4 linked regions of the Astyanax mexicanus genome follow. The protein of the gene in region 4 binds, or shares a complex with, the protein of the main gene of each other region. Links are inferred from orthologs where the notes say so. Each region holds a gene or a part of one and is shown on either strand. Other genes may lie near its edges. The genes, in order: ncbp3, srrt, ppargc1b and nuclear cap-binding protein subunit 1.

The links.
Region 1: the proteins of nuclear cap-binding protein subunit 1 (region 4) and ncbp3 are in contact, whole or in part, in a cryo-EM structure (PDB 8BY6), measured with the Homo sapiens proteins. The link is inferred for Astyanax mexicanus from reciprocal best matches to the Homo sapiens genes NCBP1 and NCBP3. Residues at the interface, in NP_002477.1 of Homo sapiens: Lys330, Ile377, Glu378, Cys380, Lys381, Pro384, Pro388, Gln389, Ala392, His420, Asn423, Phe424, Gln425, Arg427, Trp428, Ser429, Glu431, Asp432; in NP_001107590.1 of Homo sapiens: Glu572, Asp574, Glu576, Leu577, Gln578, Ala580, Trp581, Gly582, Leu584, Ile585, Lys588, Glu589, Arg592.
Region 2: the proteins of nuclear cap-binding protein subunit 1 (region 4) and srrt are in contact, whole or in part, in a cryo-EM structure (PDB 8PMP), measured with the Homo sapiens proteins. The link is inferred for Astyanax mexicanus from reciprocal best matches to the Homo sapiens genes NCBP1 and SRRT. Residues at the interface, in NP_002477.1 of Homo sapiens: Tyr461, Gln463, Lys511, Lys557, Ser558, Ser560, His561, Ser564, Ala567, Lys568, His570, Lys607, Ile609, Arg610, Thr611, Gln612, Met648, His651, Glu705; in NP_056992.4 of Homo sapiens: Asp857, Pro858, Arg859, Val862, Glu863, Tyr864, Arg865, Asp866, Leu867, Asp868, Ala869, Asp872, Asp874, Phe875, Phe876.
Region 3: the proteins of nuclear cap-binding protein subunit 1 (region 4) and ppargc1b are in contact, whole or in part, in a crystal structure (PDB 6D0Y), measured with the Homo sapiens proteins. The link is inferred for Astyanax mexicanus from reciprocal best matches to the Homo sapiens genes NCBP1 and PPARGC1B. Residues at the interface, in NP_002477.1 of Homo sapiens: Glu26, Asp29, His30, Ser33, Leu34, Lys37, Val38, Lys41, Ser42, Ala43, Cys44, Asn49, Gly52, Leu53, Val56; in NP_573570.3 of Homo sapiens: Tyr1006, Glu1007, Ala1008, Met1009, Asp1010, Phe1011, Asp1012, Leu1014, Leu1015, Lys1016, Glu1017, Ala1018, Gln1019.

Annotation. Positions count from the first base shown.
Region 1 is NC_064424.1:10,355,156-10,363,130, reverse strand, and holds the start of ncbp3 (nuclear cap-binding protein subunit 3), read right to left. Parts: upstream 3,014-7,975; 5' UTR 2,838-3,013; coding exon 2,655-2,837; intron 471-2,654; coding exon 405-470; intron 320-404; coding exon 214-319; intron 1-213. Other genes in the region: rap1gap2b (rap1 GTPase-activating protein 2b), read right to left, coding at 7,577-7,585. UniProt on the Homo sapiens protein: Associates with NCBP1/CBP80 to form an alternative cap-binding complex (CBC) which plays a key role in mRNA export. NCBP3 serves as adapter protein linking the capped RNAs (m7GpppG-capped RNA) to NCBP1/CBP80.
Region 2 is NC_064408.1:1,332,128-1,339,472, forward strand, and holds the start of srrt (serrate RNA effector molecule homolog), read right to left. Parts: upstream 3,010-7,345; 5' UTR 2,903-3,009; intron 1,262-2,902; 5' UTR 1,230-1,261; coding exon 1,111-1,229; intron 147-1,110; coding exon 3-146; intron 1-2. UniProt on the Homo sapiens protein: Acts as a mediator between the cap-binding complex (CBC) and the primary microRNAs (miRNAs) processing machinery during cell proliferation.
Region 3 is NC_064417.1:38,406,784-38,414,119, forward strand, and holds the start of ppargc1b (peroxisome proliferator-activated receptor gamma coactivator 1-beta), read left to right. Parts: upstream 1-4,335; 5' UTR 4,336-4,417; coding exon 4,418-4,504; intron 4,505-7,336. UniProt on the Homo sapiens protein: Plays a role of stimulator of transcription factors and nuclear receptors activities. Activates transcriptional activity of estrogen receptor alpha, nuclear respiratory factor 1 (NRF1) and glucocorticoid receptor in the presence of glucocorticoids.
Region 4 is NC_064409.1:65,453,154-65,460,800, forward strand, and holds the start of nuclear cap-binding protein subunit 1, read right to left. Parts: upstream 3,019-7,647; 5' UTR 2,863-3,018; coding exon 2,829-2,862; intron 198-2,828; coding exon 109-197; intron 1-108. Other genes in the region: thiosulfate sulfurtransferase/rhodanese-like domain-containing protein 2, read left to right, coding at 4,487-4,618, 5,586-5,875, 6,693-6,801, 6,900-7,022, 7,515-7,620. UniProt on the Homo sapiens protein: Component of the cap-binding complex (CBC), which binds cotranscriptionally to the 5'-cap of pre-mRNAs and is involved in various processes such as pre-mRNA splicing, translation regulation, nonsense-mediated mRNA decay, RNA-mediated gene silencing (RNAi) by microRNAs (miRNAs) and mRNA export.

The sequences.
Region 1 (7,975 bases), on a different chromosome or scaffold from region 4:
CAAAGCTGGGGGTTTAAAATCCATCTAGCCAATACTTGGCATCAGGAATGTTGAACCAAGGCTCATAAATAGCCGTGCCATTTAAAAATGCTTTTCTATTGAAGAACAGGTCACTGAATTTTCACATCACATAGGACAAATGGTCTTTCATCATTACGCCTACACAAACACTAATGCCATTCAATTTCAGCTTAGCTCAAGTGGAGTACTTACCTTTTTTCATCAGATCTCTGTCCAGAACAACATTTCTCTGAGCAAGATTGTCCTCTGCACGAAAGTGGAATCTCCTTGCTCTTTTTTCCTTCTTCTCAATTGCCTCCTAAACAAATAAAGTTCAAGAAAATAAATGACAAGCAATATTAAGAGAGCTTTTTAATGTCACAATGGAAACAGAAGACCCTTACCTTGGACGTTACATCAATCCCAGTGATAAATGTGCCAGCCTTGTTTTCATATCGTCTGCTTGTGTCCTGAGGAAAGCACAAAATAGTAAACAACATAGCCAGATTTTTGAACTATACAGGTAATGTTTCCTATCTGTATAACAGTCACTATCAAATGATTTTTACTAATAATAAGATTACTGATATTTAAAACTATAGCAGAATCACAGTGGAGACATCTGCAATCACAACTACTATTACAAAACGTAATTACTAATACCTCTAATTGCACTTTACTAGTATGAATGTAATTACAGAAGGAAGTATGAGAGATTCCATGTAAATCTAAGGTAACATATGATTGGGTAAAAGTACATTAAGAATGTGTCACTGTATAAATATAGCTGGCTAAAATCTCTTTATTATGAGCTGGGCAATATATTGATATTTGATTGTACAATGATACACTTTCTTATCATAGACAACATGCTTTAATATGCATATACAAAAACTAATGCATAAAAGCACTGACCAAGCTGCACTTTTTATTGCAAAGTTTAAATGTTTCATTTTGTGATGTGCAGAAAAAAACTGAATAAAAATGTCATGCTTGTTTTGCTACAGATGGAGTGATGCACCATTTTTGATGAAGTGATATAATATTTTACTATTTCTCCCAACTCTGTCAGTGCATGATCACATACATCACAGGTGGTGGGTTTTATGCTGTTCATATTGATACCGAAGGCAAGTCAAGAGGCTTTTATTGTAACTGTATAGGAATTATATTGCATCGACCGAAACTAAAAATATGATATAAATTTTGGTAATATCGTCCAGTCCTTTTTTATTAATCTTTAGATCTGACATCATTACAACATTTCATAGCCGATATCTTTGCAAGCCTATTTCTGCCTCTTGGAAAAAGTAAGGGCCTCCACTAACTAATAATTATTAGATGTTAAGTCATTATTTTATGAAATGCCAAGTCATTATTTTGAGGTACTAAGTCTGGGGTAGTATTTCACATTATGACTTAGCATTAGGGTTGTGCCATATCATATCGTACGCAATAATATCGTCAACATTTTTTTATATTGTGAACGATATTATACCCTGAAATATCGTGCCATATTACCCACCCTAATTATTACATGAGGGTACTACTTTTTTGCTGTTTTTAGCAAAGGAAAATTTCTCACTCTTCTCATTTTCCATAATCTACTAGAGACAGATTACATCTGTCCAGTAACGTTACCATTCATTTACTTTTACCCTGGATATCACTGGTGTATTTATTGACTAAAACAGCTTGCCATATGATGCTACAGCACTAACTTAACTGATCTAAAACTTTTAATATAAAATCCTTAATACTTTAATACTTCAATGAGTGAAATAAATGTTTATTATAAGGCAAGAAAGGAAAAAGAATAAGTTAAATACTATAATATTATAAAAGAACCCAAACCCTCAGAAACACAAGAAAGAGAAGTTAGCCATCTGGCGAGCTAGTAGCCAGGTAACTAGCTTAGACCAAGCTAACTATGTAAAACTGACAACACACAATATAATAACTCACTAGAACATTATGAAATAAAACTGCTTAATAACGAAAACGGCAAACGAAGGCTTTAAAATATAGATTATTTAATTCCTAGTTTTCTGTTAAGCATCTTTCATAATCAACAACTGAACATGACTAACGATAGCTAGTTAGCATAGGTGAGTAACCTAGGTCTAGAAAGTAAAATTCCACCCCAGGATTTTGTATCAAACTGCCTGAACCAACCGCAGAGCAGACGAGGCGGTTGGTTCAAAACACTGGGCTGGATTTTTACTTTCCCGACCTGGGTTACCCACCTCTACTAGCTAGCAGGGCTACATAGCATTACAAGCATTAGCATCAAAACTTGGGACTTGAGCTAACGTTACAACACGTTATTATAGCTAGGTAATTCATAGCGTGTTAGTTAGCTAACTAGGTTAGCTACAGAGCGCCGCCTAAGCTTGTTAAACAACATAATAAAATCCCTCATTTACGGATGGAAATGTAGCTAACACTGTCAAGCTGCGTAACGCATGAGACCCAGTAAGCTAAGCTAGGCTAGTTAGCTATGTTATATGACAGTAGACGTGTCTGTGTAGTGTTGGTTAGCTAGCTAGCTAAGAACGCTTATCCTCCAGTTCCCGTAGCGGCCGAGCTGCGACATCCATCGGCCTCCTTCAGCAGGACACACCGCGGTCTAACTGAGGCCTAGCTAAACTCACCGGTAGCAGTTCCTTCAAACTTCGGCGGACGGGGATAGACTCGAACTCGACCTCGCCTTCCTCCACTTCCATGGGCTCCGCTTCTCTGGCATTTCGATCCGAGTCGGAGTCTGAATCCGAGTCCGAGCGGTCCGAGGCGCTTTCGGGTTTCACGGACACCCGCAGACTGCGAACAGCCGCCATGACATCCAGCTAGCTAACAACGGGAGCTCCGCGCTAACGTCTGTCTCATTGAACACAGCGGAGTAAAACCCAGCGAGCTAAGCTAGCGAGCTAACTAACGCTGCTATAGCGGACACAGAGCGCAGGCTCGGGCACCACAGGCTTCTAGCGCGCCAGCACTCTACTGTAGCAGCCAGATGGAGAGACCACTTGTTAGACAGAGAGAAAGAGAGAGAAAACGTAGCAGATTATTATAACCCGCCCTCTCCACAGTAGTACGGTACAGAACCTCTAAACTGACATTATGTAAAAGAAAATAATAATAATATTAAAAAAAATAGCAATGCGTGACAATCACTTATTAAGGTGTGGGAACGAGATAATTATGTCCTGGCCATATAAGTCGTTCCAACGCTTTAATTTTAAGTCGTGGGCATGCATTAGGATCTTCTGTGGTCATTAGCATAGTGTAGCCTCTACAATAGCTATCAAGGTATACAAATAATAATATAATAATAATAATAATAATAATAATAATAATAATAATAATAATAATAATAATAATATAATAATTATGTTTAACATATAATGTTATTATAACCTGCCCTATTTACATGAGTACTGTATGGGGCCCCTGAAGTGACAAAATGTAAATATATATATATATATATATATATATATATATATATATATATATATATATATATATATATATATATATTAGGATCTTGTTCCCATGCTTTATTAAGTTCTGGCCACAATTTAGGATCTCATTTCTATGCTTCAGTAAGTTGTGGCCATGAACTGGATCTCGTTTCCATGCTTTAACAAGTTGTGTCTATGCATAAGGATCTAGATTCCACGCCTTAATAAGTCATGACCATTTATACAGATCTTATTCCCACACTTTAAAAAGATGTGGCCACAATTTAGGATCTTGTTTTTTCGCTTTAATAAGTTGTGGGCACAATTTAGAATCTTGTTACCATGCATTAAAAAGTAGTGGCCATGCTAAAGGATCTTGTTTTCATGCTTTAAGAAGTTGTGGCCATGACATATGATCTCATTACCATGCTTTACTAAGTTGTGGCCATGCATTAAGATCTTGTTCCCACGCCTTACTAAGTTATGGCCACAAGTCAAGATCTTGTTTTCACACTTTAATAAGTTGTGGACATGCATTCATTCAAGTGTACTGTATAAGAACACTTTATGGGAAACAAAGATGAAAAAACATATGCAAAATACAATTTTTATTCTGGAAAAATCAGCAGTCATAAAGATACATTTAAACATATAGCAGAACAATCATAGTGAAATAAATTAAAACATCTGAGGAATCATTTAGACCACAAGAAACCAAAATATTTCTCTATACATCTTTCCCAGAGAATATACAGACATTCATTTTCTTTCTAAAACAGTGTCACACATTAGAGCTGTTTATAAACATGTGCGATTTTAAATTCTGTTTGGCCATATTCTGATTTTCTAATCCTGCATTAACAAATTTACACAATACATATACATACAGGTGAGATCATCCTACATTTGTACAGCAAGGTCAGTCATGGAATAATGAATTAACATACACAGTACAGCCAATAAAAATGCAAGTGGTACTGAAACTCTTGGTCTGTTGCGCTGCATTTGCAGAAAGGCTGACGAGATCCAGCCATGTGGATTTTACAGACGATGTGAAGAGTTGTGCAGCTTCTGGAATGTCATGTCTGTGGATGAAGGTAGGTGTTTTAATGAGCTGCAACAAGGCATTCTTGGGTAAAAACATCAGACATGGTTGTATTAGCAGCATACCTGTCAAGTTTTGGCCGGGAAACTACCGTATTTTACTCCTCTTTCCCGCCGTCCTCCCGTATTAGTATTTTCCAGTAAATTTCCCGTATTATATATAAAAAAAAACTTTACTAATGAGGCGACAGGGCACTGGTCACTGTGTGTCTCTTAACCAATGGTAGTGCCGGTTCAAGGAGAAAGTCCCGCCTTTCAGGTGAAACAGCCAATCAGGTTCCTGGTTTCGCGGAGCGCAATGTAGGAAAGCCCCGCCCCCCTCGCTGTGAGAGCTAGTCGGAGCAGCTGACGTTAAAGCATATCTGGATATACAGCGAGGTAACGGAGCTAAACATGTAAACTATGATGACGTTGTTTCTGAAACAGTCGGATCAAACCGACTGTGTGCTTAAGAAAATACAGCTTGTGACTCAGTTAGCTTAACTTTACAATTAGATGTTCAACCTGCCCTGATCAGCCAATAACTATTTCATTTTCAAACTGTGTTTATTAATTTAGGTTTGCAGGCCTACTGTAAGCTATAATGAACGAAACTGTATTTATTTTATTAGTTCAGGGCTAGTTTAAGAGTATTGTGGTGTAATTTAATATTTAGAAGGGGCAAAAGAGATGGTTGATCTGGAGAGAGAAAATGTGAAGAGGGCTGAAATTAACTGACTGACAGGACTGGACTGATCAATAGAAAGAAGTATTAATTAAATTATTAATTGTTTAGGCCCCTTTGGACTAATATTTACTTATGCAATATATCTGGTCCATGTCATTTTTGTAAAAGCTGATGATTTCATGTAAATGTCTAGAAAAGGGTTTAACTTAGGCAGTATTATAAGAATTACATATGTAGGAATGTCCACAACATTTCAGTGTCAACAAAGATAGACCTGTCAGATTTTGATAATCTAATTGTAGTTTGTAAAATGTTCCCAGGTGGTTATTTAGATTTATTGTAAACCTGTCTTAAAATATAAGGGATTCTGAACCTCGGTTGGGTTGGTGGGCGACTCGAAGCAGGTGACGGAAAATTTCCCTTATTTTTAAGTCCAAAACTTGACAGGTATGATTAGCAGATTTGGTCAATTCATAGTGACGACTTGAGGCCAAACAAGCGGCAAACAGTAAAACATATTTATGATTCATCAGCCTGTAAAAAGACACTATCCAAAAACAGCTAATCTTAAGTAAGTTATGGCATTTCTGCTTTTATTTGACTTGATATAAACAAATACTGTGCTCAAGTTTGTTTTGTGCATCGAATACAGCACTTGTGAAACTAGAATAAATACTATGAGTGGTATAAGAAGGTCTGTAGTTGGTGGAGTATTAACTGAGTAAAGTTAATCTCTTTAGAACCACTTTGTGCAAATGCTGGAAAATGTCTAATAGCTGAATAACTAATAGCTTTAAACCCAATTTCACTGTAGTTGTTTGAGTTGATGGATGAAAGACATTGGCTGGAAACCTTTAGATTGGAAAGTTTGGTGGTTTAACATGGTCAAGAAATGTCTTCCCTCGACGTTTTAGCCACAAAATGAGGTTTTTAATCTCAGCAATAAGAATTTTTCACATTATAACACATTTATAACATTTTTTAAATCAATTTGGTTTTAGATTTCAGTTCAAGCTCACCTGATTTAAAGCTGTAAGAGTAAAGCCCCTTCCTAAAGTTACCGCCAATTAAAACATTAAAATTAAAACAGAAATTAATACAGTCTCACTAGTTGTAACAGTGTTGGAGAGAGTTGAAGCACACAGTGGGAGAATTTTGTAAATATGATTTTAAAAGGTGTAGACATTTTCATTTTCTATGTGTACTAAAATATTAATTAAGTCTATTGAGTTTTCACTGGTAATTTTTAACATTACCTTAAAATTTATAATGCTACTAGACCCTGTATTGTAAGCCCACACTTCAGTTTTTCACTCTTATAACTATTATTATTTATTATTATTATTTATTATAACATCAGATTTAAAGTCCCTATAATATAAACCTGTGCATCTCCACATAGTTTCTGCATTATGAATAATAGCTGAATAATTAACTTAGCACTCATAGAGACGCACTGATGCCATAGACTCTTCATTTTGCGCACCTGTTGTTTCTCTTTTGGATGGTGTCTGTATTGATTATTGTTCATTGTATTAATTCTAGTATTAATTTATTGGGTAAATAAACTCTTATTGCCCAGATCAGGAGCTTTTAAATTTTTAATAATTTGTACAGGTGCCTAAAAGTGTGCACAGTACTGAAACTAAAATTAAACAACATTCTCATAGACCCCATTTATCGCTTTCTGTGTTAATGTGAAAAAACAGACTCAACTGAGTAATGTACTACAATGTATTCCATCTCTTTGAATCTGAATCTTGCATGCCCTTTACTAAGCATAGAAATAGATGTGAGGAAAAAAACGAAGTCATTTTCTCATCTCATTCCCCTGATTTAGCAGAGGCAGTTTGTCGCTGTCTTTCCTGCCACCAGCATAAAATGTGACAAATGTGCACAATCTGAACAATGGCTGGAGATAAATGAGGAAATGTGGGAGAATGTTTTGTGCTTTGGAATAAAATATATGATGCTTTTATCCTAATTTGCATGACTGTCACTGTCCACTGTCTACAAAATATATCTATTGCTATCATAAGCTCTAACACCATCCTTTTAGGAACTTCTCAGAAGCCTTTGTGTTGTAGGAGAAAGGCGTAGGCGTAATGTTCTACGTTAACATGATTTGAAGTGGTTTAATGTTCCAAATTTGAAGCGAGTGTGTAATCAGTGTTTATAAAGTGTGTGCAGTCCAACAACAAACGCTGCCTCAGAGGCAGACGAAGCCTTAGAAATAATTTCATCTCCAGTGTCCTTCCTCCTCAGTGCGATGTGGTGTCATTCCACAGCCAGTGTCTGATGTGACTTCACACAGTGCTCCTGGTCTCTCGTCACTGCTGTTTCACTAATGCCCCTGCCAAACACAGCAGATACACACAGCATGATTTATTAATGTTTAAGCAACTCATGCTGACTGGTTTCGCATGGATTTGCCTCCACCTGGGTCTACTGCTGCCAGTAGGGTCTGAAATGCCTAAAGATACAGGTTACAATTACATTTTATAAAATCAGTGACTAAGAAATGTCACTAATATTCAATATGGAGTTTAACATTAGCCTGATACCAGTCCAGTCTACTGAATCAATGCATCACTGAGTGCCTTTAGATGCACTTCATAATCTGATTACTGCAGAACATGAATGTCAGTAATCAAATGATAGGGTGTGGTAATATTGGATTTTTTACTTGTAATGAGCCAATAAACTCAGAAAATAAGACATGATATACAGCTCAGGAAAAAAA
Region 2 (7,345 bases), on a different chromosome or scaffold from region 4:
ACCAGTCTCTCCTCATGCGTTTCTGCTGGGGGCTCATGTCGTGTCTGGGTGGGGAGAATCTCTCCCTCCTGCCCCTCTCGTAATCCCGGTACTCCCCCCGGCTACGTCTCTCTCGGCCCCGGTCCCACTCTCTCGCCGACGGGCGCCTGCAAACCACAAACACACAAAACACACATAAATAATCCTGCAAGCACTTTTTAATATACGTGATATACGTAACTTATTTTCTGTTAAAATGGTGCTGAATGTTACAGGACATGTCATAAAGGCTAACTGAAAAACCACTGCTCTGATTCTTTTCAAAGTAAACTTTTTCTCTTAGATTAAATCAACGTGGTTTGTTTTTTTGTACTATAGGCCTATTTGGACTGGATTATTTTCTCAGGAGGTTCTGGGTAATTTTCTCTTTTATGTTTTTTTTTTTATCCTCGGTAATTTTATTTCCGTCCAGAACGATCATGTTCGTGTTTTTCACAGACGTCCTCTGAACTCTTTTTCGTGCTCCTCCAGTAATTTTAGTCCCCTCTGGACGCACATCTTCGTTTCGTCTCACCTTTAATAAAATAGATATTTGTCCACTGCTGCGCACCGTAATTACACTTTGGACGTGCGTTTCCAAGGAGATCCACATTAAAAACAACAGTGTGTGGAAATGGAGGAGCTACTGAACGTGAGGTCATGTGACTGAGAAAAAAGCCTAAAAACCCCCTGGTCATCCTGTTTTTACAATTGCAGTCCGGATGCAGGAGTTTTATCACTGAGTAGAACAGTGAAATATTTTTCACAGGTGTCCCCCTGAGAAACTAATTCCGTCCAGACAGGGCTTTAGACAGTTTTCCTAAAACAAGCGAAAAACTAAAATCTCATATCACCAGGTTGTTGCCAATACACAGCCCTAATTATCAGTGAAATATGAGACCAGAGTTTTTTCCTTTTTAGCACCAATGTGTTAAAACCATGAATGTTTATACTTTGAAGGTTTCCAAGTAACAGTAATGTGTTAGGAACACACTAAAACGTGAGAAACACAAGAACTCGGGTTGGGGAACCCCTGTTATAAACGGTTATTAAGTTCTTGTACTAAGTTATATTAAATTCCCAGCTGCTCACCGGTCACTCCAGTCGTCTCTCCGCCGGTCCTCCCTCTCTCTGGAACGGTCATAATCGCTCCTTTCCCTGCGGAATTTATCCCTGCGGCGGCGATCGTACTCATCATCACTGTCTGCCATCACGCCCAATCACCAACCAGTCTCAGATCTCACTAATAAAGAAAATATACAAGAAATAACATCAACTTCAATACAGAATGTGGAATACAGATCTCTAAAAGTGATCCTCAAGGGGGTCTAGTATTATAAGCTGGAAAAAAAAAATCCACTTTTAATAATGTGACTAAACCCCATACATTACGCATATACACACACAAACATTTATCAAGACTGAGCATTGAATAAGTATTTTTTTAATTGACTGTTCCACCTTAAATCTACTACAGTTACACTGTACTGCAACCAATGTCACGTTTACAGTGCACGCAACAGCATAATTTAAGGTGGAACAGAACATTCAGTAATAAACTTAACATTGGCAAACTATAGCACAATTTACTAAGTTAAATAACTATATAACATTTAAGTAAGTGAAAATAGCATTGCGAACTGGCTAGACAGTAAACTACAATACCTCTGGTCCAAAGGTTTAGAAGAACAATTTAATATTTAAAGGAAAACAAAAATAACTCCAATTCACACAGCACAACGTGAAACAAAATATTGCAATATTAAAGCTAAACCCTCCATTGGTACATATTGTAAAAGCTGTGTTTTCACACCTTGGCACTAAATAAGAAAGTTTTCCGTTCCACCTTAAATTTCCCCATTGTTTGCACTGTAACGGGGGCATTGGTTGCAGTATGAAACTGTTGCAGATTTAAGGTGGAAAGGAAAATTCAATGAGCCTGTTTTAAAGGTGATAAACTTCACAATTGTGCACTATGGTACAATTTACATGTTTAAATAGCTGTATATAAAAACTTAACACAATAAACAAGATTTAATAAAGGATATCTGAAGCGATTAGCACTGCTAGCTAGCATAGCTAACTTACCAGTTAGCAAGCTAACCTAGCTAACGCTAGTTCTGCTCCAAACGTGTAGAATAATTTTATATATTAAAGCAATTTAGGCTTCAAAAAAAGTATTTAACTCAAATATTCAGATAAAACGACATACACTCTATGGTTATCTTAGCTAGCTAGCCTAGCTAGAGCAAGTAACGTTAGCTTAGCTTATTATACAAGCCTGTCTGTGTTCCAATACGAGCAGTAGACTAGCTAACATGCTTACCTATATTTGAACGTTTGTTTGAGATATTACACAGATATGAACGTACCATTTATTAAATATATCACTTATTTAACTAATTTTACTGACAAATGAGCTACATACGTAACTGTTCCTTAAATATGTAGCTAGATATCTCAAAAAACAAGTACGCTTAACTACGCACCCTACTCAGGCACCCTACCTAAGTGTGTTTTCTCTCCCATAGGAGTAAACTTAAGCTTTCTCCATAAACACACTAAACAATGAATCTGTCAGTAAAGAATCAAAACACTTTAAATCAGACTAAACTACTCCCAAACACCCACTAAACAGATAAATAAATAAGTGTACAGTTAAGGGCGCGAGTGCGCTTATTGGAGCACGGCCCAGCTATAGGCTGGCTAGCTCGCTAGCTTCACTCTCGAGACTACAGAACAAAAGTAAAGGAACAGATTAGCCCAAAATACGTTTCTATTACGCTGCTTTCCACATACAGAACCTTACACAAACTAGAATATGGGTGTAAAAGGTATAAAAACAGTAAATAAACAGAGACAAAGGCAAGAAAAGCCGCGGTACCGGTAACTACTCGGTAAAATCCCGCCACCCGCCGCGGTCTCGCTGCAGAACGGACGAAGCAGGCTCCCGGATGTTGCACTGATATCACGCAGCAGCGCCCCCTCCGGCCAGAAGAGCAAAGCGCAGCCCAAACACAACACTTCAGAATCAAAGTCTGTATATACTTATAAAGTAAATTATGGTAAATTTAGTTTAATTTAGGTAATATATAATCAATCAATCAATCAATCAATCAATCTACAAAATAGGTAAGTACGTTCATAATAGGGATGCACAAAAAGGATTTTTATGTCTAAAACCAAAACATGTAAATAACTAAATAAAATATTTATCCCAAAGGCTGAATATAAATAAAGTGTATAAATTATGCACTCTTTCACATATTAAAAGTAAAAGCTGTATCTTAAGTAAAACAATATTTTTAGCCAAAAACTGGCCTAAAATAAATAAAAGATCCAAACGCAGATAATTAATGCATTGCTTATAAATAGACAATTAAATAAATACATAAAAAAATAAATCAATAAGTAAAAAAAAAGATAGAAAGGGATAGAAGGTAGAAAAATAAAGAAATTGAAATAAATGAATAGGCAAATACATAAATCAATAAACAAATAAAGGTAGAAATGAATTGAAAGAAGAAAAAGAAAGAAATAGACAAATAAAGAAAGAAAGAAAGAACGAAATGAATAGACAAATAAATAAATAAATCAATAAATTAATAAAAATAGAAATGAGTAGATGATAGAAAAATAATACATTAATAAAGAAATGACTAGACAAATAAATAAATCAATAAGTAAATAAATAATTAAAACAATAGCTAAATAAATAAATACATTTAAAAAAAAAGACCTTTGCAAAAATTAAATATTTTTCGAACGAAAGCATAGTAAGATTCATAGTAATAAAACATATAGTAATACTGATTGATATAAGTTTTATAATGAGCATATATCTTGTAAATAAATATACAAATAAAACAATTCTGCCTATTAATTACACTGTAAGAAAATTTAAGGAAATATATCATAAATATTCCCTTAATTTAATAAGAATATAAGTGAGAATCTGTATAAATATGCTCTGATTTGTGTGTTATATGTAATAATAAATGTAATATATAGGAGGGATGTGGTCAGTAAAGGGTTAAAGGGGTTTAAAGGGGTTAATCCAGGTCCAGTCAGCTGATCAGTGTCGTGACTGTTCAGCTCTGCTTCTGCTCTGTTCTCATAGTAAAACGGTAAGACAAGCTCGATTTCAGCCTTATTTTACTGTTTTATATCGATTTATTCATGTAATTGTGTTTTTTAGTTGATATTTCTCGTTTTAAGCTCGTTTTTAATTGATTTTAGCTTTTAACTGCTCTAATTTACTCGCTTGTTTTTCGAATTAGCCGTTCCACCTTAAATGTTGCTGCAGTTGCATTCTGGCGCCCGAGGCGCCAGAATGCAACTGCAGCAACATTTAAGGTGGAACGGCTAATTCGAAAAACAAGCTTATTTCAGCTTAATTTAGGATTTAATTCGATTTTAGGCTTTTATTTTACTTTATAGTTCATGTATCATTTAATTAAGGATGTCATGCATCTGTGCATTTATTAGAAATGTTAAAAATAAATCTTAAATACACAGAAATATACAAAATATACACAATATACCGCTCTAAATGTACTAAATCCATTAAAACACACACACTGCTGCTTAAAATACAACAATAAACTAATATGTACAAACCTACATATATATTACTAACACATAGCCACAAAGACACATGCATTCAATATACAGCAATATATTAAATATATAGAAATACACTTAGTATACATTGCTAAAAAAATGCTATAAATACTGCTACTAATGCAAAAAAAAGTACTACTTATACTTTAACTAATTATAATCAATATACATTAAAATAGCTATCTCTATATTTTAAATATATGTATTTCTTTCTTAATATACAGAAATACACTATGTAAATTAAGTGGACATAAATATACTAAATAAACTAAAAATACACTAAAAGCTGCTGCACCATTAAAATTATTTCTAATAGAATATTAAAAGAAACAGAAAATTAATAGATTACAGAAAAGTATTAGAATATAAAAAAAGAATATTACAATTAATTTAAGATATATTATGTGTGTTACAGTAGTCTATAAGTAGAGTCTATAATTAGAGTTAACGCCCAAGTGAGGTATTTAGAGAGACTGTGCTGAATTCAATTATAGAAACCAACCTTTATTTAAACTCAGGAGAACATTGAGGGTGACCCTTATTTACAGTGCAGCCTAGCATTTACAGTTTATAACAAATTCAAGACATATATAACAATAAATAAAATAAAATAATAATAATAATAATAATAATAATAATAATAATAATAATAATAATAACCATAAAAAATAACACATAAAAAGTTAAGAATTTATCAAATTTAAAATAAAGAAAAATGCTAAAAAGGACAAATGAATAATAATCAACTAGTATAATAAGAATCTAAATAGAAAAATGAATTTAAAAAAATTACTATTTACTAAATAATATGTACTGATGTATAGATCAATTTACAATAGATACGTCGTTGTATAATTTTATACAGCAGTGTAGTATAAAATGCTATTTATTTAGTATTTTTGTGTAAAATAAACATAATCACAAAGCAGTGTTATAAGTAGATATGTTACTATATACTATTCTAATAATAAAATACAAGCAAATATACGTTATTTATTTATTTATTTATTTTAATGAATTTTATCTTTAAATTATTTGTTCACCCCTCCAATCATGTGATGCTATGATCGTCGTCTGCTAAGCTAGCTGAGGTATCAGGGTTAGCAGTTGTGTAGTGTTCTCCTCCAAGCGTGTTGAGCTGCAGTTTGGGAAGAAACACAGCACACAACAGAGTCTGCGCTTAGACAGTTACGCCACTCAGGAGCTGCTAGACGGGAAAAACGAACTTTGCTTGGATAAAATACGGTATTTAAAGCACATTTTATTTATTTTATAACTATATTCTCTCTTTTTTCGTCACTCAGACACACTCTCACTCAGGATGGATTTCTCCAAGCTTCCCAAAATTCGGGATGAAGATCGGGAGGGACAGTTCGGCTTTGTTCACGGCGTCTCCGGACCCGGTGAGTCTCTGTTCTGTTCTATTGTGGTCACAATTAGTGCTGGGCGGTATATCGTTTTATTTGATATACTGGAGGGGAAATTAAAACCGGTATGCTTTTTCACATACTGCCATACCACTAGAGGTGCTGCAGAGTGCTGTGCAGAATAGAACCACCAAAGAAGCACACTGACACGGCTCACTAGCTAACGCTAGCCAGTTAGCATAACAAGCTAACGCACTGGAGTGATGGTAGCTCATCCCTGTGGAGTCAAACACTCGTCTCGCTCTGTCTAGCCTGGAGAGAAATGAGAACAGCACTTTATCTGAAGAGCTCCTGCTGCTGTTCCTCACTGCATGAGTGTTTTTATCTGAGAAAAATAGAAAAACAACAGCAAACAGCAATTATTCACTCAGAAAAAGGAGGAATAGAATTGCGCAATCAGTCCACAGCTCTGAGAAATTTCCTCTTGTCCCCCAGATGAGCCCAGAATCGGATCTGGGTACAGAATCATTTATTTAGTACAAGAGATAAAACTCCCTAAAACTCTGGATAAGAGATGAAAATAAACTTCAAGAGCAGTAACTACAGGCCTGTTTAAATATTAATAATGTAGATGGAAGGATCATTTTAATGCACATTGAACTGAATGTATTAATTAATTGTGTGCAGTATAAATTTATTTCTAATTTTTCCCATTTTTCCCATTTACACGGCCAATTACCCAACCCACTCATTAGGACTCCTCCCCCTATCACTAGTGATGCTCCAACACACCAGGAGGGTTAAGAAGACTAGCACACACCTCCTCCGATACATGTGAAGTCAGACTCCGCCTCTTTTTGAGCTGCTGCTGATGCTGTAGCATTTCCAAGTAGCATCACAGCGCTAACGCTCGGAGGAAAGCGGTGCAGTGACTCGGTTCTGATACATCAGCTCACAGACGCAGCCTTGTGCTGATCCACATCACCCTAGGAGTGATGAGGGGAAAGAGAGAGCGCCATCTACTGTACTGTACCCACCCAGAGAGAAACTGGGCCAATTGTGCTCCCTCTGAGCGCCGGCAGCTTGATGGTAAAGCTGCATGAGTGGGGGTTCGAACCTGCGACCTCCCGCTCATAGTGGCAGCGCTTTAGACCGCTGGAGTGCAGTAGAGCTTTTGATAAATGTCTCTTTTTTTAAATGCATAAACATTGAGTGTTTTACTGTGATATAATTTTTTGATCATACCTCCCAGCACTAGTCACTGTGTTGGGTAAGAATATGTTCTGATACGTGTTTACGCCGCAGTGGTGACGGCCTCCAGCATGGCGGGAGCTGCG
Region 3 (7,336 bases), on a different chromosome or scaffold from region 4:
ACCTGGCATGAGCGGAGACAAGAATGTGCCAGAGCAGACACTGGAACTAGCCTGGATCTCTGCAGTCTTGAACAAAGGGAGTGCAACTGAATCATGAAGCAAAACAATCTTTGTTAAAATGAAGACTTTCATTGTTGCTGTGGTCTCCACTGTACACTGTGTGGGCTAGTTGAGTCAGTCATTGTTCAGTAGGTGGTCATTTAATATGGGCGATTTTGCCCTGTGAATAATCACGTCTCTCGCTCACGTGGAAGATGTCGGCCCCAGTTTTCTGTTCTGTAGACTTGTTTTGCTCTTGCTAAGGCCTGAGCTGGTAAGTCTTTGAGTGCTCTTTGTAGGTTTAGCCCCTGGGCGGGAGGTGGACAACACTGGCGGGAAATGAAGTCCACTAAATGAGGACACAAAAGCAGGAATGCCACACATGCAGCAATGTACACAGGCGCTATAGCCACTACCAAGCGGTCACTCCACAGCTTTGTACACGGCCCCACAGGTCACTCACCCAAGGCCGGCTCCAACAGAGAGGCCTCCGGCCATTGTCCAAAGCAGGGGCTTGTTTTTGATGTGAGCTGGAGTAACACTGAATTCCAGGTCAGGTCAAACATGAAAGTGAAATTTTGGATGAAGGGGGAAAAGTTCATAGTTCTGGGAAGGTGGTGGATAGGGGTGGAGGAGTGGAGTGGAGGGGGTTATAAACATTAGATAGAGACTATGTTTAAAAGTTTAATCAGTTGGACTTACCTTTTCCTAGAAAGGGGGGAGTTTAACCGGTTCATGAAAACCTTCCCCAATTCACTGTGTACTGTACACTGCTAACTTCAATGTGGTTTGACCTTTGCTTTCTAAGGAAGAGAACTCAGTGTGCGTTCAGCAACAACACTGGGTGTTTTGAACTAGGACAGAACCAGACAAAGCAAATCAGCTTCAAGCGCAGGTTTGTTTCACACGGATGAATTTGCTGTGTGTGCAACTTATAAGGGAATGTTTGTCCTTAGAAATCACATACAAACATTGTACAACTGAGGACTTTTTTTTACACCTAGCATTAACATGTTTTTAGTGACTGAATCACGTGTGGATTTGGTTTTGGTTTAGCTTTTATTTTGCATTAAAAAGCCTATAAAAACACCACAGATAGATGCCTTTAAGATTGCTCAAATCACATTCAGCTGTTGTCAGAAAAAAAAAAAACATTTGCATTTAATACAAAAGTGTAAACTGAATGAGTTTTGGTGATTCCCTTAGGCAAAGGCAAATACTATAAAACAAAAATATTAGAATTTATTGAAATGATTATTACTGTGGATCTTCTCTTTTCTGCTCTCTGGCTCTACTGGTAGATGAGAGAGCTAGATATTGTTCCCTTGCAATATACAGTAAATAGCCAGGTGCCTTTTTTGAAACAGCCATATTAAGGATGAAAGAACCGTCTAGGTCTATTGTTCAACCTTGCTATAAAACCCTCACCATTACCATAAAGTCTTAACAGTCTTAACAGTCTCCTGGAACAGAATGATGAAAAACGGTAACGGAAATAATGTACGTGCTGGTGTACTTTTTACATCTGGTCACTCTGGGGATGCATTTTAATGACAAGAAAATCTGGTCTATGCCCAGATAATATGACCATGTGGGGCCTGTAGGGGTTGCCCAACTGAGAACCAGATCATTTTGTTCATGGGTTCCATGTTGGCCTCACTTATGAATGATACTGATGGGCCCCATCTGGATCATACACTACACATGGGGTTAAGTTGGGCAGTAATGGTGGGGTCCATTAAACTGGGTTCCAGTAAAAAAAAACACAAAGCCAACCTACTCACAGCATATGCCCACCTGAAACCCACCTAGTCCGCGTTAAAATAGTCTGTCTGAAAACGACCTGATGCCCTACCCAATCTCTGGCTCAAAAAAATGGTCTGTGACGTAGGCATGGGTTTTTAATGCTATTAAAAACAGAGGTGTGGACGTGGCTGCTAAAAAGGGGCAAATATTAGAAATTACAGGCACCTACAACTCAAATCAAAGAGTTTTAAAGAGGTTTAAATCGGGCTCAAGATCATAATGATAATTTATGGGTCAGGCTGGGTTGGGATCAGACAAAACATGCACTCGCTTGGATAGAGATCGAATCTCTATTAGGCAGCCCAACTGAGAACCAGAAAGTTTTGTCCACGAATCCCACACTTGCCCCATGTATTAATAAGAGAAATGAGCCCCATTATGGTCAGTGATGGTCCCCATCTGGGTCCTACACATGGGATCTATGTGACATTAAAGTTGGCAGTAATGATGGGGCCATTTTTGTGGCACCCAGTAAAAAAAAGCACATGTACAAACCCAATACACTCACAGAATATGCCAACCTGAAACCTACCTAGTCCATGTTTAACCTATGTGAGGCCCACATGAATAAGAATGTTGGCTGGAAGAACAGATATTATAACAGACTGACTCTCAAAAGCCAAAGGAATACACAATACGTATGGTCTCTGATGCTGAGCTCGTTTTGAGCTAGATTCTGACTGTGTGGAATTTTTCTTGTTTGCTGCTGTGCCCACCTACTATCCCAAATCCGCCTTCAGTAATCCAGCTGGGGGGTTTTGTTTAATTTGGGGGGGGGGAAATAAACACATCAAGCAGCAGAGGTGGAAGCAGATGGGACTGTGGTGAAATGCTCTCTCTCTATTTATCTCTCTCTCTTTTCTCACACACAGTGTGGCAGCATCTTCTGCCTGGTTCAGTGTCTTCCTCCTCCCTCCCTCTGCCCTTCACTCTATCTTAAGCGAGGAAGGATGGTGGTGGGATTGGTGGAGAAGGATGGGGGGGGGGGGGGGGGGTGTTGTGCCAAACGTGGGCACGGCGCAGAGACGTTCAGTGCCAGATCCTGCTCCCTGTCTGAGGCAAGTTTGTGTAAGATCAAATGACTTTGAAAAACTCCTGTGACCTGCCTGACCGTCCATTTATTTAACCAGCGTGACAGGCGCGCGCGAGCGAGCGCGCAGGCGAGCGAGAGTGCGCGCGGATCCTGCCCAGTGCTCGGCCAGCAGCAGCAGCAGCAGCTCCGTGAGCGCGAGTCATGTGACGGACGCGCACGTGTTGGCTCGAGGAAGCCGCTTTTCAGCACAACACGCTGCTGCCCTACTCTACTCACACACACCCCGCCCTCCAGAATACACTGTTTCCAGCCGCTCAGATAGCAGCAGCGCCGGCCAATCACAGCCCGGCTCGCCTCGCGTGCTTTGCATATCTGTAGTACGCCTGGCTTCTCGTCCAATCAGAGCCCGGCTCGGTGCTCCCGCCTCGCTTCCCTGTTCGGAGCGTGTTGTGGAGGAGCTGGATGTTTCTGACACACTGGAATTAACTTGTCCTTTTCAGCTGAACTTCACCCCCCGGACGCAACGTAACGACGGCACGTATTTTTGTGGTTAAACGGTCCATTTCTTCCCAAACTTGCTCAGCTTGTCCTTCAGGGAGGCTGATACTGTAATTCTGACAATGACCAAGGTTAGGGTAAACAAACCGTGCCGCTACACTGAGGTCACACAATGCGAAAAATTCACTTATGCTCACTAATATGGTTAACTCCCGGTCAGACTTATTAAATGACCTGTATTTTGGAGGGAAAACAGCCTTATTTCACCTTGCTTACTTTCAGGAGTTTGTTTAGATATCATTTGCAATCAATTCATACAAAATGTCTTATAGTCTCAGTAACAGACAAACGTTTGGACACACCTTCAATTCAGTGTTTTTTTGTATTATTTTATCATTTTATGCATTGTAGATTAATACTAAAGTCATCCAAATTTAGAAGAATTTATAAGTATTCAGTAAACAATTTTTTTTTTAACAAACCAGAATCCAATGATGGTCTTATTGGTCTGGACTGCAGTTGAGGATACTTTCAAAGTTCTTGACAGTTTTCGGATTGACTGACCTAAATTTTTTTAAAGTATTTTTTTTATTTAGTTGAGTTTTACTTGCTAGGATGGCAACTTTGCAGGATTTTCTCAGTTAGCTTTATAAGGTAGAGTCACCTGGAATAGCATTCAGTTAACAGCTGTGCTGAACTTGTCAAGAGTTATGACTTGAATTTCTTGCCCTCTAAATGTGTTTGAGAGCATCATTTGTGATGTGAAAAGGAGAGAGAGTTGGTTTACAATGAATAGCCCTATCTGAGTAATGTTCTAATTCATATTATGCAAGAACTACTCATCATATTAAAGAAAAAATACTTTAAGAAATGAAGGTCAATCAATCTGAAAACTGTCAAGAACTGGACGACTTAGTATTTATTTACAATGTAGGAACACAAATAAAAACATTGAATGGGTGTGTTCAAACTTTTGACTGGTACTGTATATCATCACTGTCCAATACAAAGCATGTATCTCCAAAACAACTTTAAGAGATAATGGAAAGGTGGGACAATCCAAGTCAAGTGAAGAGGCTTTCAAGTCACATCAGCAGATCAATGCAGAAGGAACCACACATCCTGCAGGTTAGTACAGTTTTAACCTTTAGTGAGACATGACATGGCAAAAGTCACAGAATACTTGTTCCTGTCCCATGATGTTCAGCATGTGAGTGTTTCATTAAATACAGTACATTTCAAAACATACCACTGGTTCTAAAGTCCATAGTCCATATAATTGCAAACTAAACTGCAAAAACAGCCAATTTTAATGTTTTTGTATGTAGCCTAGTCCGCCCAACAACACTTCAGTAACAGTAACACTTAAGATCTATTATAATAGATATAATTAAAAGTGGCACAACACACAGCAGCTATTCAAGCAGATAACATTTGCATATTTTAGTTGTTAAGGCACAATAAAGATAAATATAGATAAACAGCAAGAGTAGAACAATCCTATAACATTAATTAAAATAGTTAAAGATAAATGAAATTAAAAATGTTATAATGTAACTAGACATCAGCTCTTTAAATGTAAAATGAATAAACAGGATAAATGTAGAGTATAGACTCTTTGATCCAGAAACTCAGAACATTTATTCTCAACTTGGAAATTAGAGCAGCAAACAGCCTGTCAGCAGCCTTTACACCAGCCCTAAATCAGGAAATCAGCAATTACACTCTCTAAAAGAACCTGTTAATTTTCCACCTGTCCGTGATTCTAACTCGCAGACACAACGGTTGATGGGGTTTCTTTATAATGGACTATTTGGATGGGTCACTGGGGGAAACTGCAGGGCAATTTACTTTATTGACATTCTGTTTTCTTGCTCATGCCTCTGCATGAGGATACTCTGTCTACTATAACACACAGTGCAGCTAATAGGTCACAGGTTTTATTTTTGATCTGCAGACCAGCAGCTTAGACTGGCTTTGAGGTCAGAGTGCAGAATGTCCACTTTAATAGGTGGACATTTACGCTTTTGTTGAGTAAACCATGGAGAAGATAGTCCCTTAATTTCAGAAAATCATAAGTAACTGGACAAATGACTGTATCTTAAATAAAACTGTAATTTTTATTATGCTCTCAAAAATAAAGGTGCTACATAGTATCACATAATAATGAATATTGTTTATTGAAATAATTTCTGGAACAATACACCACCCAAACCAAAATAGTTATCATGGCTGCCATTGTGCTACACAATGTTCTCTAAACAATGCCATACTGCCAAGAATTACTTTTGACTCCTTAAAAACATGTTTGTAAAAACATTTTTTGTAAAAACGACTGAAGTCTGTGACTCAAAGTGATACTGTATTCTTGCATTGTCCTGAAGTACAGTATATCCCTCCACTGACTGAAACAGAAAGAACCAATCAGCTTACTTGCTGTGCCAAGAGCAGCAGAGGGTTAATGCACCATGATGTAGAAATCTGTCAAAGCATGTTTTTTGTCCATTAATGAGCTCAACACTAGAAACAATTCATGAGTGTTTTTTTTTGTCAGTTTTGATCATTTATTTAAAGTATTTTGTTAAAATGGTGATTTAACTTTCAGTTTTGAGAAGAAACAGAACACAGTTTTTTGAGTAATGCCTAATAAACCAGGGTTACTGCTGGGCCCTAAAAAGTCTTAAATTAAAATCTGGGTAATTAACATCTTAAAAGGTCAGCGGAGAGCTAGCTAACATTAGCAGCAAGCTAGCTAATATTAGCGCAAGCTAGCTAACATTAGCAGCTAGCTAACTAACATTATCAGCGAATTATTTTCTACCGAAGAAATTATGATTAAATTATATTTATGGAGGTCTTAAAAGATCTTAAAAAGCATTGGTGCAAGAACACCTGTAAACACTGTTGGTTTCCTATATAACCATTTTTAAAAAAGGTTTGTAAATGTGAACAAGGTTCTAGTTTTAGGGCTAAGAGTTATTTACAGAGCAGTGTTTCTCAGTCCTGTTCCTTGCAGGCACCCTGCCCTGAATATTCTTGGGAATTCCCTGTTTTTATACACCCTATAACTCTGAAAGGGGTTGTTAGTTAACTGATTATTTAAATCAGGTGTGGGGGGAGAAGGAAAAGCAATAAATGTGCAGCGCAGGGTACCTCTAGAACCAGAGTTGCGAAACACTCTCTTAAAGTAATGAGGGAATATGCTAAATGAAAACACTGCTATGCAAATTAATAAACTGATAAGGGTGATGTGTTTATATATGCTGGGTGGCTACAAGGCAGTAGTAAAATAATGTGGTTGTGGTGATATTCAGAATTGAGCATTTATGCATATGAGACATGATCTGCCCATATTGTCTTATTTTAAAAGATCTTGTAATCAGTTCAACTAAAAATGATAAAAAATTACATTGAGCAATTAATTTATGGCCAAATACGGCCCAGATAAGGCAAGAAATACGGCTCTGAGTTACAGCACTGACAAATGTACTGTGGGCCAAAACTGGCCTAGCCATATCAGCTACCTTTAAATGGCATGGCATTTGAACTCTGGGCCACATGTGGCCCTCCAGCAGCGTACCATGTGAAATGCTTGAATAGCATTGCTATTTCGTTTCAAAACTGACCCAACTGCTGCCAGCTGTGGCTGTGATCTGGCACCTAGTTTCTAACGGAGTCATCTCAGTCATTCCATGGTAGTATGTGGGACAGATAAAAGTGTGGACCAGAACTGGGGTGTGACTCGTTTGCTATTTGGGTAGTAATAGAATAAAAAATGACATTTAAATGTATGAAACCAGACCTGCTACTGTATTTATTCTACTGTAGTTGACTTTCTTATGAAAGAGATGAGATTTGGAGTGGCTGAATAAGATTTTCTGGAGTACAATCAGATATGCCAGTGTTCTTCAATCCTGGTCCTGGTGCCCAGCACATTTTAGAGGATTGCCTGCTTTAACA
Region 4 (7,647 bases):
ATTAGAGCAGCATTCTAGTAACGATAAGACAAAAAGCTAACAATTATAATTTATTGACAATTTCATCCTCAGCTTTAAGGAGAGCATTAAAATGTTCTGTGGTCTTACCTTTTCTCCAACTCTGCATATCAGTGATTCTAGTCGGTCCTCGATTTCAATTGGCTCAGATGTCCTCCTCCTTTTGTGAGGCTGACCTCCTGTATTGCAAGAGAGAAACACACTGATTTTAACATGGTAATTCACACACACTCTTGTTCCACATCAAACAAATTCAAGAAACTGATACTACAGGTAGCAAATAAGAACCACGTCAGTGGTCATCACTAGGTACACACAGGTACTCTACAGTAGTTTGGCTTGTACTATTTTTACAGTGTCCTAGATAGGAGCATCTGCTAACAAAATACACTCTAACTTAACATATTAAACAGCAGCTGTCCTCAAGATTTGTTTGATATAAACTGAAAGTAGTTGTGCTCCTGAATGGGAAGACATTGTGATGTTGTAAATATTGTAATGTCATTATTGTGCTTCTGATACCATTCCTACAAAGCCACATATTTATTCTTAAAACAGGGTGGTCTGGTAGGTCCCAGAAGCTTTTTGTGGTTGTTAAACTTTTGTTAATGATGATGATACAAGAACTACTGAGAACATGGAGGCACCATAACTGCAAATTCAGACTACATCTGCTCATGAATGCATGTACTAATCATTAAACCAAAGGAAAGAATTAGAACCCAAGAGAGCTGGCAAGAAGTGAACAGGACAGAATCCTCACTAAAACCACCATATGCATTCACTGTGAAGAGAGACCACAATGCACATTTTGAAGTACCTTTTAGCTTACTCACTGCAATTGAATGTACTGTCACTGAGTATTATAACAATATTTAGAAACAGGCCCCCTTTCCTCAATTTAACAAATAGTTTGCTCAATAAGACCTCTCATGATTACCACTTTTCAGAAATTGTAGCAAAATTGTAATTTTATGATCATCTAATGCCACCGGTAAAATGATAACAATAGTGCAATCATTCAAGAGAAAAATTACATTTTAAGTATTAAGACCATACATAAAAACAGTGTTTTAACAAAAAGTCATTAATTATATTACATTATAGCTATACGGGGACATGTGTATAAAATATTTTTATTTATGTAGCTTTTAGAACAGATCTGCACACTATTGGAATTTTCTCAGGAAGTTTCTTACAATAGTTGTTGCTTTTCCTTCACACTGGGAAACTCCAGCTCATCCCAAATCACCATCTTAGTTGGGTTTAGATTAAGGAATTGTGGAGGACAAACACTTTATTTGTTTTGTTTAATTCAGAGTTCTATATATGTGTTCTTTAATTGTTCCCATGTCTTTAATATTTATATGTACTGTAGAAAATTAATTAACCCCTTTACAGGCCTTGGAACGTATAAAGGCTACAAAATGTAGATGACAAAAGCCCTTTTCTCTGCAGTAAAATAGGATTATTCACATTCAGACAACGTTGAGGGCTTTGAAGACTCCTACAGGTTACTAGGAGAAGCTGCCTGTTCACACTCTCCTCAACGCAATCATTTTAGATCAGCAACAGGATCAAATCCAAATTTTGCAGGTTTGAACACAGAAAAAAAAAAACAATTGTAACGAAACGAAAGGTGTAGAGAACATTCAGGAAATACTGTATTCAGGAAATACTGGTTTTAAAATGAAGTTTAGGAAAGTTGCAATTTCAAGATTGTTATTCATTATATTGTTAAAATTGCAGGTTTACTTACATTTAAAAATATATATATTATAAGTATAATTAGAATTTGTAGAAACGTTAATAATCAAACGGGAAACCTTTTCATATAATGCTTGTATAGAAATTCTTAAGATTTAGGAGTGTAATATCAGGCAAAAATAACAAAATGACAAAAATGTTGGCCTGTCAAGGTGTTAACAGTTAAAGAAATAAAGAAAAACACTGAAAAAGAAGGCGTGTATAAACCTTTGACTGGTACTGTAGCTATAAGTTAGTATTAAATAGTTTTTATTGCGAAAGATATTTTATTTAAAATAATCGAGCATTCGTTTAATAGAATGTATTAATGTGTTCACTGTGCGAATAATAAACACTGAGTCTAGTCTCATTAAAAAAAGGAGGGAGGACGATATAGCACCGTTACACAAAGACATACGAGCTTTAGGTAAACACTTAAAAAGCTAAATGGAGCACGATGTGGAGTATACATACTGGTAACAGCTAAATAATTATCTTTTTTGTTGGAAAATTAGCTCTGAGCCTCCTGAGGAGAAATGGCAGTGAAACAGCATGCCTGTGTTAGCATTAGCTAGCTAACGTTAACCTAGCTTAGCTAAGCTTGCTAGTTAGCTATTCCGTTAGCTTCAACTCGAACACCATGTTTTAAGTACAAATGATTAAAAGTTTAGTAATTAAACCAAGAAAACGCAAAATATATCCAAAAAATAGCCAAATAATACCTGCAGAAATCGCTATACTCTGTTAAACTACCCTGCGCCATTGTTTAAAGAAGGGTATTAGTTAGCTAGCTAACCTAGCCCTAGCTAGAGTATCTACCTAAACCGCTAAAATAGCTAGCTAACAGCAACTCATGAAGCTAGGTAGCTAAGCTAACTCTCCATTCCACCTTAAACAGCGCAACGATCGCAACGAAACACCTAAAGCCAGCCCCCGACTCCTGAACCTCAACTGGGGCTCTATTTAAGGTGGACCGGAAAATTTGAAAGGTAGCTAGTTAGCTAACTAAATAAGACAAACTCCAGCCTAGCCGAGCAAACGGCGTCACACAACTCCGCACTCACCGTCGTTCTCGTCGCTGTGCCTTCTCCTAGACATCTTTCAGCGCTCGGTTATCGGTCTACAGATGTTTGAAGTCCTCCTGTGTTATTTTTACAGGTTTATTCTCCTATTTTTTGGAGCCCCGAAGCTAAAAATTTGCAGAAGCTACAGCAGCGAGCCGCCACCACCGTGGAAAACTAAAAGAGGGCGGGACTGTTTAGATACTGTTCCGGAGCGGCAGGAGCTCAACCAGAGAGTCTACACAGAGGAGAATACCCACTTAAGAACGTGTTACTCGTATAGTGCCCATCAAAATTAATGGAACACTGAGGCAAATCATTTTATTTCTGCTGTAGACTGAAACCATTTGAGTTTGACATTAACAGATTATGAAGCAAAAGACCAACATCTCAGCTTTTATAACAGGTATTTACATTTGGACCTGATACACAATTTAAAAGATAGAACCTTTTATCTTAACCCACCCAATTTTTTGTAAGCTAAAATATTGAAACTTGACTGTAAGGTGTATTCCTGTATAAGAAAGTCATCACTGGTGTACTAAGTAACAGATGGCAAACCAGCAGACCAAGGAAAACCACAGCATTTGATGCTCTGGTATCTTCTACCGGACGACATCAAAGCAAAGATGTACAAAAGAAAATCCTTGTAAGGGATAGGTGGGGGCAGAAGATACTGGAGCATCCGAGCCTCAACAACCAGATTCTGGAACAGCTTCATCCACTAGGCAGTCAGACTTCTCAACACACAGAGACGAAGCTGGATGAAAGGGTCAATTAAAATTGAGATAAAGATTTTGTGTTGATGTGTGTGTGACAGACATGTGTACTGGAGATTTATGGAAACACAGAACAAATTGAGTCCTGTATTGTTCTGCCTTTCACACTGAGAATTTTCCACAGGTTTCTGCAATAGCTACAGAAAATTTAGTTTATTTATTTATTATTGCAACACTTAAGTACACAAAATGTTGAAAACTTTAGTACTTCCACAAAAAATGTTGAAAACTTTAGTACTTCCACTTAGTACAAGCTTAAAGAACACTTCAACTTCTATTTAAGTCACTTTTTGGACAGAGCACTCAAGTCTGGACCTCGTAAACATGTTCTGCCTACAGTATCCACTGATATACAGATAGATTTTTTCTTATTTATATTTTCCTATTTTTTTAGTGAAAGACTTTCTCTACTTTTAAAATAAAGGAATATCCTAGACGAGTAGTTTGTTACTAATTAAATTTGAGTTTTTAGCCATTTAGCTCCATTCACCCTTATTCATTGAGGACTCCCTCGCTGGCTCCCTCTAGCGGCATGCAGGGGTTTACTGATATTTCGGGGGTGATATGAAGTGATCAGTCTCTCCGTAAAGCAGCTCTGGCTCTGCCGACACGCCAGTAGCAGCAGCAGCAGAACTGCATGGCGGAGAGAGGAGTTTTATAATAACCCTTGTTTATCTGTTTTAGCTCTTAAACTAGTAACTGATTTATTTCTGATCATTTAATCAGGATTTACTGTGGTCTGAACAGCCTGGGATTTATATTATAACCCCCTGTATGGCTCCTGTGGTTGATTTAGGGAGCTGTAGTGTGTTTAGAGTGTGATGATCAGTAGTCTGCAGTATTACCTCGTGTAGAGATATATCAGCTGATACTCAGATTAATATGGACAGTGAAGATCTGGCAGAGTCTGTTCTTATTCATTTGGATGTGGAGACTCTTATTGCCGGGACTCTAAAGCATGAGAAGTGCGAGATTTCAACAACTCGAAAGTGCTACTCCTACATAAAGAAGAGGGTAAGTTTATTAGCTTAGGTTACATTGTAATAGTTAGCTAAATGTGACACTTTTTAAACTCCTAATTTATAGTTTTTATATATTTATTTAGTCTACACTTTTCTACACAGTTCACAGGTTGCATAACACTAAAACAGTGCACAATTTTAAAACATATACATAGATTTGACATTTATTAAACATATCTGCACTGTCTACATGTAAAGGCTTCTCTGCTGCAACTGATGTAAATAATTTTTAGTTTATTATTTTTTAATGTATATATCCTAATACATATGTTGTTTATATTTTGGTTCACTGATGGTAAATAACGTTAAATAAACGTTAGTCCTTATGTTTTGCCTCATAGGCATCAGTTTGTTTGTAATGTTTTTAAGTAAAAGGTCCTCCCCCTTAAACAAAATCATTATTATTATTATTATTATTATTATTATTATTATGTAATTTTTTACACTGCAAGAACATGGTGCAAGCTATATAATTATACACAGTATATATAATTTTCTTTACAATATAGTTGTTTACAAACAAACATAGCATTGGTTCAGTGTTGACCTGAAAAAAAAAAAAACTTCAGTACAATAAATGTTGAAAACGTTTGAAATATATGTTGAAATATATATTTTTAATTCAGTGTTTTTTCATATTGCCAAGGGTATCGTTATCACAAAAATACCATGAAATATTGTGATATTATTTTAGGGCCATATCGCCCACCCCCATTGCATATTTTTTATGCAGAAATTATTTAGAATTAATATTTGTATGGAAGAAGCATAATAAATGCAAAGAGAGTAAAGAGGTTCAGTTGCCATCTCAAATATTGACATTTTCAAACTTAATACATGAACAATGTAATATTTGTTTAACTATAATAAGAATTAACTTACGTTTGTAAAGTTTACATTAAGAAACTGCTCTATGTTTATTGTTGTTTGCACTCACAATAGTCTTCTGTGACTTTCAGACTTTTGCAACATTTGTGGCGTCTAAGAGGGTCTCATCGTCTCCTACTGATACCTCACCGGTTTGGCAGTGCTGTGACGAGACCTTTTCAGACCCGTCCTCAGTCCACAAGCATGTTTCCAACCTCCACGCTGAAGAGATCGAGCAGCTCACCACTGCGGCCCTGGATCAGATGCTGAGCCAGAGCGAGGAGGCTTTTCAAAAGCAAGAAGACCCAAATGAGAGCCAATCAGACGATCCAGCCTCCTGGATACCCAGCACAAGCCATCTTTCTGAGGAGGAGCTCAGCAAGTAAGAGATTCCTTTAGTATATGATTATTTTACTGTTAGGCAAAAAAAAAGAGTTTTTCTTGAGTTATTCTTTATATTAGCATTTCATGATGAATGTACACATAAAAATGCTCAGAAATAAACTGGAAAAGAATTCTTTTTTTACTGACCATTAAAATTTTTTGGTTTTTTTTCTTACAAATTTTTCCAACATTGGCAATGTATGGGGTATATAATCAAGAGGGAGATGGATGATCACAAGCCATCAAACCAAACTGAACTGCTTGAATGTTTGTAGTTATCCAAAAGCAGTGTGTAAAACTGGTGAAGGAGAATATGCCAAGATGCATAAAAACTGTGATTAAAAAACAGGGTTAATCCACCAAATATTGATTTTTATGAATATGAACTTGTTTTATTTGCATTATTTGAGATCTGTAAATACATGCTCTAAATGACAATATTTTTATTTGGAATTTGGGAGAAATGATGTCTAAATAATAATGTTCATTTTACTCAAACATATACCTATACATTGAAACTGATTCAGAAGCAGAATTTTTCCAGAGCTGTATATGTAACAAAAGTATTGCCAATTCTAATAATATTAGAGTAGAAAGATATGAATCGATTAGTCAAAATATTACTGTTTATTTGTGTCTGGATCTGGATTCGTGCAAGATCTGTGAATTAATCCAAAACACTGGTACCTGAGAGATCTCAATGGATCTACTGTTAACATTGTAATCCTAGATAAGCAGGGCACCCTCTCTGATGACACTTGTTTAAAACCCATATTTTAACTAGTGCTGATATTAGTTTTGTTGCCCTCTTCCAGAGGTCCAGGTGAAGTCCTCCTGTATTACAGCTACTGCCAAATACGAGATCCCAAGCTGATTTGTTCTTGGCAGTCTGAGCTGTGTTCAAGACTTCATCTCACTGGCAAGGTAAACGCAGTGCTCTCCTCCTGATGAGAATCTTCACATGTGCATGAATTGTCACAGTGTGCTGTTACACTACTCTGGAACTTGTGCTCCTCCTGCAGGTGCGTGTGGCCACTGAGGGCATTAATGGAACAGTTGGTGGAACCAAAACGGCCACAAAGCTTTACATCAAGGCGATGCTGTCACACCCCATTTTCAAAATAATGCAAGTGGAAGATTTTAAGGTAGTCCTGCAAATGAGATTGTCTGTTAGGGCTGGTCAAATCAGATTTGCCTGTTTAAAAATAATGTTTGACTCTTTGTTTGTTTTATATAATTATCTAGCAATACAAAAAAAAAGATTCTATAAAAAAAGAGACACCACTTATAATTTAATGCAGGCAAATTTAATTACTTGCAGCCATCATGCCATCCCCTATTATTTACTGTTAATTTATTCACTGTTAACTGGAATATCACTAGTAACTTCTTACAACACACATACCGGAGAACCATGTTTCCTCCAATCATATAGTGTCTATAGATTTATATTCTCTAGATTTTTGTTTTTAAAAAGATTCCAGTATTTTTTATATATTAATACAAATGCATATTTCCTAATACTTTTGTCCTGTCCTCTGTGTTGCTGTAATATTGAAAATTTGCCTGCTGTTGTACTAATAAGGGAATATTTTATCTCATATTAAATAAACATATGTATTTGGGTTTGCTCTCAGACCAGTGAAGGTGGTGCAGAGTGCTTTTCTGAACTTAAGGTTGGTGTCTACAAAGAAATTGTCCCAATGGGTGTGGATCCAGATACAATTTCCTACAGGTTAGCAGGTAAATAGAAACAGTTTCATTCAGTTA